Linked DNA regions of Mus musculus. The protein of the gene in region 1 purifies or fractionates together with the protein of each later gene. This does not show direct contact. Links are inferred from orthologs where the notes say so. Each region holds a gene or a part of one and is shown on either strand. Other genes may lie near its edges. The genes, in order: Magohb and Pym1.

Region 1 (4,435 bases):
TTTCAAAGCATATCATATACATGTTGTTTAATTTTCTCAGGTCTGTGTTTGGCAGTTGATCACTGTGTATCTAGTTAGTTAATGATCAAACAGGTTGAGAGATAATGACTTGTCCAAGGTTACGTGGGACCAGTACTGAGACTGGACTCTTTTTCTTAGGATTGTGACAGAAGGCCATCAGTCACCGATAGGATTACTCAGTGGTGCTAAAAGAAAGGTGATCAGGAATTGGAACGAGGGAACTGGGTGCAGTTCACTGTCATTTTGTGCTCTTCAAGACTACACTTGGATGTTCCGTATTTTTCCAACTCAAACTGTTGAGAACTGTGACCTAGCCCTGCAAATATATAGGGTACTAACCATTAACCCTTAGTGACTCATGAGTTGTAGTATACTATGAAAAACTCTTCTATGATGACTATCTGGACTTTTCAGTTTCATGTGCTATTTAAACATCAAACTCCCACCAGACAGATTCATTTTACTCTGTGTCTCCGTCTGGGCTGTTAGCTACTGGAAATTTTGAAGTATTACCAAAAGGGACTCTGGTAGATTGTGTTCTGGTTGCCACCGGAATGTATCTTTTCTCAGTTCACCAGTTTCAGGAAGTAGAGTCACACCCCACTTTACAATGTGCTTCGAGATCAGAGATACCCACAATAAGTACAGCTTGTAAACCTTAGTTCAAAACTCAGAAAAAGACACACCTATAGCATAGGGCAACTCGAAAGTAAAAGTGGTTTTACATCTGTTCCTTCCAAGCCCATTTAAACAAACGAGAAGAAAACAAAGAAACAAAATCCCTAGCTATTTCTTTGCTAAGATAAAATATACAGGAAAACGGACAAATCTGGCAATTATTATAGTGAGGTAATGATGAAGTATTAAGACAAATCTTGTATAGAATTTTAGCTTTTGTATGAGTGTATTTATGTGCTAGTGAGTGTAGGTTATTAAACCAGAGAGGATACTGAGTGTAGGTTAAAGAAATAGAGTGGGAAGTGTAACAGGATACATTTAACAAGAAAGTGCAGCGGGAATAATTTGGGCCCAAGGGTTGGGGGCAGTAGATGAGGAAGAGGTGGAGTGTGGCTCAACCAAAATATAGAATGCCAAAATGAAATCCGGGACTTTGTATCCACCAACGCGCTCATGCAAGCCACCCTTATTAAACTCGGTGAGCCTCCCCTCAACCCAGACAAAAACAAGGCGTAAACGTACAGGAGGGCTTATTGGTAAGACTGGTTCAGCGGAGAAGGGATGAGAGAAGATAACATGGTGGGAGCGACTAAAATTCATCATGTACGTGTATAACATCGTCACAGAGTTAAAACGTAAAAATCGAAGACATGAAAATCTTTTCCAAAAAAAGAAAAAAAAAAAAAAAAAAGCGCTCGAGATCGTGGTGGCTCCAATGCGAACCTTCAGTTCTCTTGGGGGTCTCTTGCTTCCTCTTCAGTTTTCCGGGATTTCGTTCCCTACCGGAGTAAACGCGCCCTTGGTGACGCGCTTTGCCTGCGCCCGTGACGTCACTACCTCGCGCCGGCGGCACGTTGGCCCCGCGGTATAGCGGGCTTTACCGAGGGTAAAAATGTCTATGGGTAGTGATTTCTACCTTCGCTACTACGTCGGGCATAAGGGCAAGTTTGGGCACGAGTTTTTGGAGTTCGAGTTTCGGCCGGACGGTGAGCGGCGGAGGGGCTGCGAGGGAGGGCGAGCCGCCCAGGGAGCGGGTTTCAGCGTGTGTGTGTGTGTGTGTGTGTGTGTGTGTGTGTGTGTGTGTGTGTGTGTGTTTCCTTTCTTCTTTATTTCAATTTACTTGTTTAGTTTTGAGAAAGGGCCTTGTTGTGTAGTCCAAGCCGCCCTCGAACTCACGATCCTCCTGCTTCAGCCTCTGGGATGCTGGGATGACAGGCGTGTCACCATGCCCCAGACTCCCAGAAGGGCTTGAAGGGTTTCATTCCAACATTGGAAGACTTTGCTTTTGTAGCAGGCTTGTGCTGTATTTGTGAGAGCAGACATGGGTTATGTTTGTGAGAGGGAAAAAAATGCTGTAAAGTAATTCAGAAAAGCGAATTCTGCCACTCCTGAAAAGTTGAACATATAGGAATCGGAAACTTAGAGCAGAGAACCTGTGCTCCGGGAGTGTTAACAGAATTATCAAGTGATACTCCAGAGGATGCATGGAATCTTTAGGTGACCTCTTTGGCCTACTCGTTCATTCATGGTATGTGTTAAAGCTGCTTTATAGGGGAGGAGCCCCGTGTCTGAACACAGGAATGTGGTATGTGTCAGGTTTGAAATACAGTTCTTCACTAGTGGATGATGGCCAAAGGTAAGGGAGTCAGTGGAAATGCTCCTAGAAGCTCTTTTTGTGCCACCTCCTAGGCAGTCGGCCAGCCTTGTCTAAATGAGTCTGAAAATCTCCTTCCTAGCCACCAGCTGTCAGAACTCTTTCAAGGGGACAATCAATACAAACTTCATACTTTCAGCAAGAAGCAAATGGCCACAGGGGTAGCCGCTGATGCTCTGGGTGAAGAGGGGAAGTGTTGTGTGGTCCCAGTCACAACCAAGGACTGGGGGAATGACAAACAAGCTTTTCCCACAAAACAAGGCTTCTTGACCCAGAGCAGAGTGTACCTGCTGTTGAGTAAGGGGCATACTTCTATAGACCAAGGAGAGCTGGAGAGAGGAATTGCAGGTCTGTTCTTGATATATTATGAATGCCAATCTGAGTGCTTTCAAATTGGTTATTGTAAAAAAATATTGATACTGCTGGACTGAGCCCCTGTCCCTCTGTTTTTGGTCCCAACAAGCTAGCAGAATCTTAAAGCATTTTAGTAACTCTAAAGAAGACGATGTCTGCTAATGAACTATTGAAAAGCCCTGCAACAGTGGCTGTAAGAAATCCAGGAGGAAAGCACCCAAGGTTCAGCATCTACTTACGTCACTTGTCCTTCAACAACACCATCTCCAATGTATTGTTCTCAAGAAGCAACACACTAAGAAAAACAAGGTAGCTACAGAATAAGCTTAACTTTTGGCCTAGAGAATGAAGCTTAAAAAAAAAAAATACCAGGAACAGATTTCCAAGAGACATAGACTGTCCTCAATGAGAGCTTCTACTTTTAAGTCTGAGTCCAGTAAACAGTAAGTGTTTAAGACAAAGAAGTAAATGATCAGACCTTGAAAAACAAAACAAAAAAAGTTTTCCCTGAGTCTTTTTATTGGGGTGGGGGTGGGGGGTTGAGACAGGGTTTCTCTGCAGCCCTGGCTGTCCTGGAACTCACTCTGTAGACCAGGCTGGCCTCGAACTCAGAAATCTGCCTGCCTCGGCCTCCCGAGTGCTGGGATTAAAGGCGTGTGCTACCACGCCCAGCTTCCCTGAGTCTTTAATCCTAGTACTCTGGGGGCAGATGGAGTTTCAGAAAAGCCAGAGCTACACAGTCAAACCCTGTCCCCTCACAAAGTTCCCCATGCAAAAAAGAATCTGCCCCTAGAAGATGAGACACTTGATTGAGATAAAACTGAGAAACCTTCTTGGTTTCTGGGTGAGAGAAAAACCAGAGGAGAGCAGAATGATCAGGGGTTTGTTGGAGCCTCTCCCTGTGTAGTGTAAGGCAATTCTGTCTTGGGACAGCTCTGCCTACCTGCACCAAGAATTTTTATTTTTGAATGTTCATTATGTAGTGGGCAGTATATAAATGTCAAAGCTGAAGGTACTTGGGAGACAAACATTTAACCTACTATAGGACAGTATGGGTTTTACTTAAGTGCTTTATGCATGACTTGCACGAGGTTCTTTGATAGGTAAGGAGAGGATCATGGATTCCAAAAGTTTCAAGCATTTAGGAAGAAGTCAGCATAGCAGTCAGTGTTCCTGCTGTTATTTAGAACTTAATAACTTCACCCTTGTTTCCCAAATTTTGTTGTTGTGGCAGTGGTCTTCTAGTTTTCTCTTTTCTTTTCTTTTCTTTTCTTTTCTTTTCTTTTCTTTTCTTTTCTTTTCTTTCTTTCTTTCTTTCTTTCTTTCTTTTTTTTTTTTTAAGATTTATTTATTTGTTATATATACAGCATTCCACTGGCATGTATACCTGCAGGCCAGAAGAGGGCACTAGATCTCGTTATGGATGGCCATGAGCCACCGTGTGGTTGCTGGGCATTGAATGCAGGATCTCTGGAAGAGTACTGTTCTCTTGACCTCTGAGCCATCTCTCCAGCCCTAGTTTTATTTATTTTTATAAAAAATTAATTGCTTTTTAAAAATTTTATTCCTCTTGTAATTCTGTTCTTGTTCCTCTTGCATTTGAATAACACCAGCTTGTTCTTAGCACCCTGAGTCATTCAAATTAAGACCTCCAACAGTATCAGGAGAATTTTATGTAAGGATTTATTCTCATGCGTCTCTGCCACTGCATTGTTCCACTTACATGGA
Region 2 (4,243 bases), on another chromosome or scaffold:
CGTGTAAAAACATGTAGTGCATGCAAATAGCATTAAAGTCATTTTGAGACTTGAATTGAAAGGAGAGAGGTTAAAGCTGGGAGAATTGCAAGGAGGACAATGTGTGAGCTTTTGAAAACTTAGTTGAGGTTCTTATTAGCCTGTTTTGTTTCTTTTTTTTTTTTTTTTTTTTCCTTTTGGTTTTTTTTTTTTTTTTTTTTTTTGGTTTTTCGAGACAGGGTTTCTCTGTGTAGTCCTGGCTGTCCTGGAACTCACTCTGTAGACCAGACTGGCCTCGAACTCAGAAATCCTCCTCCCTCTGCCTCCACTGGGATTAAAGGCGTGCGCCACCACTGCTCGGTTGTTTTGTTTTAAAGTAGAACATATTGTCTACTACTGAAGTACTAATATTTCCCCACTTCTCAATTTGAGAGGCACTGTTGGACGTTAGTGTAAGCCAAAGTTGGGCAATAGAAGAGGGTGAAAGAGTTAAGGAAAAAGCTTTGTAGGAGGAGGGCAGACACCTGAGGAGAGGAGCTTGAGCCAGCACCTTCCTGACAGAAGAGGAAACAAGTTTAACAGGATTTAGCCCCAGAGGAACTAAATTGCTGATGGAGGAGGGGAGGGACCGGACCGGGCTTTGGCGCTCCTTCCAAGAACAAGGCACAACCTAACAAAGGGAGTGGCCTCACTGTCCCGGTAGATTTAAGGGTGGAACTGCTCGCGGTAGCCAAAGCTAATCCGAAGTGTGGGGCGCGGCTAATTAGAATACTGACTGGGTCCGCCCCAAAAGCCTTCACCCCGTGCCCTCTGACCCGAGAGGATCCAGTACTGAGCAGCAGGCCAAGAAGTTACCTCGCCGGCCGCTGAATCCCCAGGGCTGCCCGCCCCAGTTCAGTCATGGAAACCGCCAGCACCCCCGAGGCCACGGGGACAGGTGACCGACTCGCAGTGCGCCGATCTTTGCGCACCCCTTCGTAGGTCTCTGATCAGTTAACCTGGGCGGCCGAGAGTGGTCGGCGTGCCGAGTAGACCTGCCCACTTTTAAGTGTTAGCCCGGGTTTTCGTGTATCCCTGGGGCTTCTTTGCCCATGCCAACACGCGCCCTAGGGTTTGGTGCAGGCGAGGGGCCTTGCATATTCCTTTCCTCTTTTACCAGCTTTCCTGCTGGGTCCCGGTGGGCCTTGAGCCTGCGAGGACTGTCTGGGATAAGGCTTATGCCCAAACTTCTCTCCGAGCCCTAGGGATTGTTTTATATACATCAGGAGGTCAACAGTGGCGTCGGTGGTAGTCTAAGAGCCCATGACTGTGAGCGTCTTACACTCGCCTTTTCCGCCTCCCGCGTCAGAGAAATGGTGCAGTCTCTCTTTAAGATTAAAATGGTGGCTTGCTAGGATGAGGACTCCACTTCCGGCGGGGAGGGGGGCGGGACCCCAGCCCGCTCACGCCGGAAGTGGTTCGGGTTCTCAAGATGGCGACTCCCTATGTAACTGACGAGACCGGCGGTGAGTGCGGGGATCGCGGAGCCGCCTCTCCCGGGATTCTTGGGTTAGGGGTTCGGACTTGGAAAAGGGTTTGTGCCACGCCCATCCCGGGGCTCCTCCTTTGCCACGCCCCCGTACCGCCTTCCCCATTCATTCCTTTTGGGTTGTTACCTGCGCCCCCTTCTGGTCTCGTGTTTTTTGGGGGGGGTCTCTGCTTCCGGTCTCCCAAACCCTGGGGTCCTCCAATGTCCCCTGCTCCGGGACCCTTAGGCGCTTCAGCTCTTTCTAGCTGTTGGAGTCCCGTACCTTTGCAAGGTTCTCCAGCATTATGGGCTCCTGTGCTCAGTTCCCTCCAATTCCAACCCCCTTTCTCCCTCCCCCATTTCTTACTGTTGTACCTGCTCTCTACCCTTCCCTGTTTTCATTCTTTCTCTCCGGGCTGTGTCTGCTGATGATCTCATTGCTACATAGTGCTTTCTTCTTCACTCTTTGCCCCATCTTCATTGGGTGGGGGTGGGGGTGGGTGTCACTGAAATCCAGACGTGTGAAGGGAAGAGGAATTTAACTTTCAACTTGACTTTTCTCCTTGGTGGAGTTTTCCATTTAAAGTGGGAGAAAACAAACAGGAAAGTATCTACTGGCCTTTCTCTCAACGTCTTTGATAATTGATAGAACCCCATGATTTCTTAAAGGTTGAGTAGCACTTCAGTCGAGCTGTCTGAAATGTTGGAAGTCAGCTGTTTGTGTGTGAAGCTGAGAATCGGTTTTATGTTTTTGTCTTGTTTGTAGTTGCCTTGTCTTTAGGATAATGTGCAATATTGACTTCGAGATGATCAAATAGATATTTGGAAGACGTAGTGCAAGTACCCGGTGACTGTTTTTGTAGCCTTCATCTTGGTCTTCATATGTGACTAGGGTTTTGTAGAAGTGATCCTGTGATTGTGCGGTAATGCACGGTGTGTTTTAAAATGTGCCATTTATGCTTCTTGGTTTGCTTTAAATGTTCCTTATTAAAATTAAAAGCATGAGCCACTGTGCCCAACCTTTAAAAAGCAACTTTCATCTTTAACACTCCAATCCCCAGATGTGATCTCACTATGTGGCCCTGGCTGGCCTAGAGCTCACTGTGTAGACCAGGCTGGCCTTGAACTCATAGAGATCCACTTACCTCTGCTTCCCAAGTTGTGGGATTAAAGGCGTCTAATACCATGACAGGCAGTTTGCAGCTTTTAATGTGTACCTTCTTATTCTTTTTATATTCCATCTGGCCCCTGCCCTGCTATAGAGATAGTTTCTGTTCTTTGTGGCTCTGTAGAAGAGGAAAATAAGCTGTTCTTTTGCCTCTCTGCTTTTCAAATGCAATTTTAGCAAAACGGCAGTGTTCCTATCTACTGCCCACAGATTATGTTTTTTTGTTTGTTTTTTTAAAAGACTTATTTTGTGTGTGTGAATGTTTTGCCTGTGTGTATGTCTGTGCGTCATTTGTGTGGTTGGAGACCACAGAAGTCAGAAGAGCTATTAGATCTGAGGCTGGAGTTTGAGCTGTAGGCCACTATGTCGGTGCTGGGAATCAGACCCCCAAGTCCTCGGTCCACTGCAGTAGCCACTCTTAACCTCTGAGCCAACTCTCTAGCCCTTTTGTTTTTATTTTTGTTATTCTGTCTGTAGCAGCTTGGGAATGCTCTGAACCCCCTCGTTCCTGAGCACGAGATCATTGACGTACCTTTGTATTTTCAGCTACACCTCAGGATTACTACAACCTGGACTTCATCTGTGACACATTTCCTTTCAGGTATTCCCCTTCGCTTTAGCCTCCTTACCAGTCGCCATTTGACAGTCTCAAATCCACAGAGGCAGCTTTTTGCCCTCTTTAGGTTTTCTGGTTGTGTGTGTGGGTGTGGGTGTGGGTGTGAATGCGTGTACTTGTCTGTGTGCACGTGCATGCATGTGGAGGCCAGATGTTGATGTCAGGTGTCTTCCTTGACCACCCCACTTCACCACCACCACCACCTTATATCTGACAGGATCTTTCACCTTAACCCAGAGTTTGGTGACTCAGCTAGTCTAGATAGTCAGGGTGCTCCTGGGATCCTGTCTCTGTCTCCCAAGTGCTGGGATTGTAGGCATGCCACCAGCCCACAGGTGTGAATGTGGATGGATGCTGGTGATCTGAGTACTGGTCTTTATATTAATGTGGCAAGTGTTTTAACTTCTGAGCCATATTAGCCCCCTCTTCTCTCTCTCTTTTTTTTTTTTTTTGTTTTTGTTTTTGGGTTTTTTTGTTGTTTTTGGCTGTTTCAGATAGTCTCTTGCAGTTCAGGCTGGCCTTGAACTCCTGTTCTTCTTGTCCCCGCCTCCTAAGCCACCTGCATTGCAGGTATTTAGTTCAGAACTGCATGTGGCTGTCTTTGTCTTGAATGATATTCATCAACTCTTTTCTTGGCTACTGATTTTAGACTCTAAGAAAAGAAAATCGGAAGTTAGAAGATTCAGTCTCGTGTTAACTTCTGTCAATATTACAGCTTTTTGCCAATTCCTGCTTCCTGGAAGCCTAAATTCTTTTATGACTATTTTACAAGACTCTATCATTAGCCCTTTAATTCCTCCTTTTGTGGCAAATACCCTTACTTTATATTTCATTGGAAAATTAGGGCCTGTCATTTCTGTTTTCTTAGCCTCAGCCAGGTGTCTGTCACTCTCCTCCCTCCCGTCAGGATTTCACATCAGCGGCTTGAGCACTGGGATTATAGATGTGGGTTGCACTGTTTAAGTCCAGATTT

Evidence for each region.
Region 2: the proteins of Magohb (region 1) and Pym1 purify together in Homo sapiens (co-immunoprecipitation; 3 studies listed by BioGRID and IntAct, with this or other methods). This does not show direct contact. The link is inferred for Mus musculus from reciprocal best matches to the Homo sapiens genes MAGOHB and PYM1.

What each region holds. Positions count from the first base shown.
Region 1 is NC_000072.6:131,290,322-131,294,756, reverse strand, and holds the start of Magohb (protein mago nashi homolog 2), read left to right. Parts: upstream 1-1,512; 5' UTR 1,513-1,591; coding exon 1,592-1,685; intron 1,686-2,816; exon of another isoform or gene 2,817-3,016; intron 3,017-4,435. UniProt on the Homo sapiens protein: Required for pre-mRNA splicing as component of the spliceosome. Plays a redundant role with MAGOH in the exon junction complex and in the nonsense-mediated decay (NMD) pathway.
Region 2 is NC_000076.6:128,747,083-128,751,325, forward strand, and holds the start of Pym1 (partner of Y14 and mago), read left to right. Parts: upstream 1-1,372; 5' UTR 1,373-1,450; coding exon 1,451-1,484; coding exon of another isoform or gene 1,485-1,552; intron 1,553-1,588; exon of another isoform or gene 1,589-1,708; coding exon of another isoform or gene 1,709-1,778; intron 1,779-3,200; coding exon of another isoform or gene 3,201-3,255; intron 3,256-4,243. UniProt on the Homo sapiens protein: Key regulator of the exon junction complex (EJC), a multiprotein complex that associates immediately upstream of the exon-exon junction on mRNAs and serves as a positional landmark for the intron exon structure of genes and directs post-transcriptional processes in the cytoplasm such as mRNA export, nonsense-mediated mRNA decay (NMD) or translation.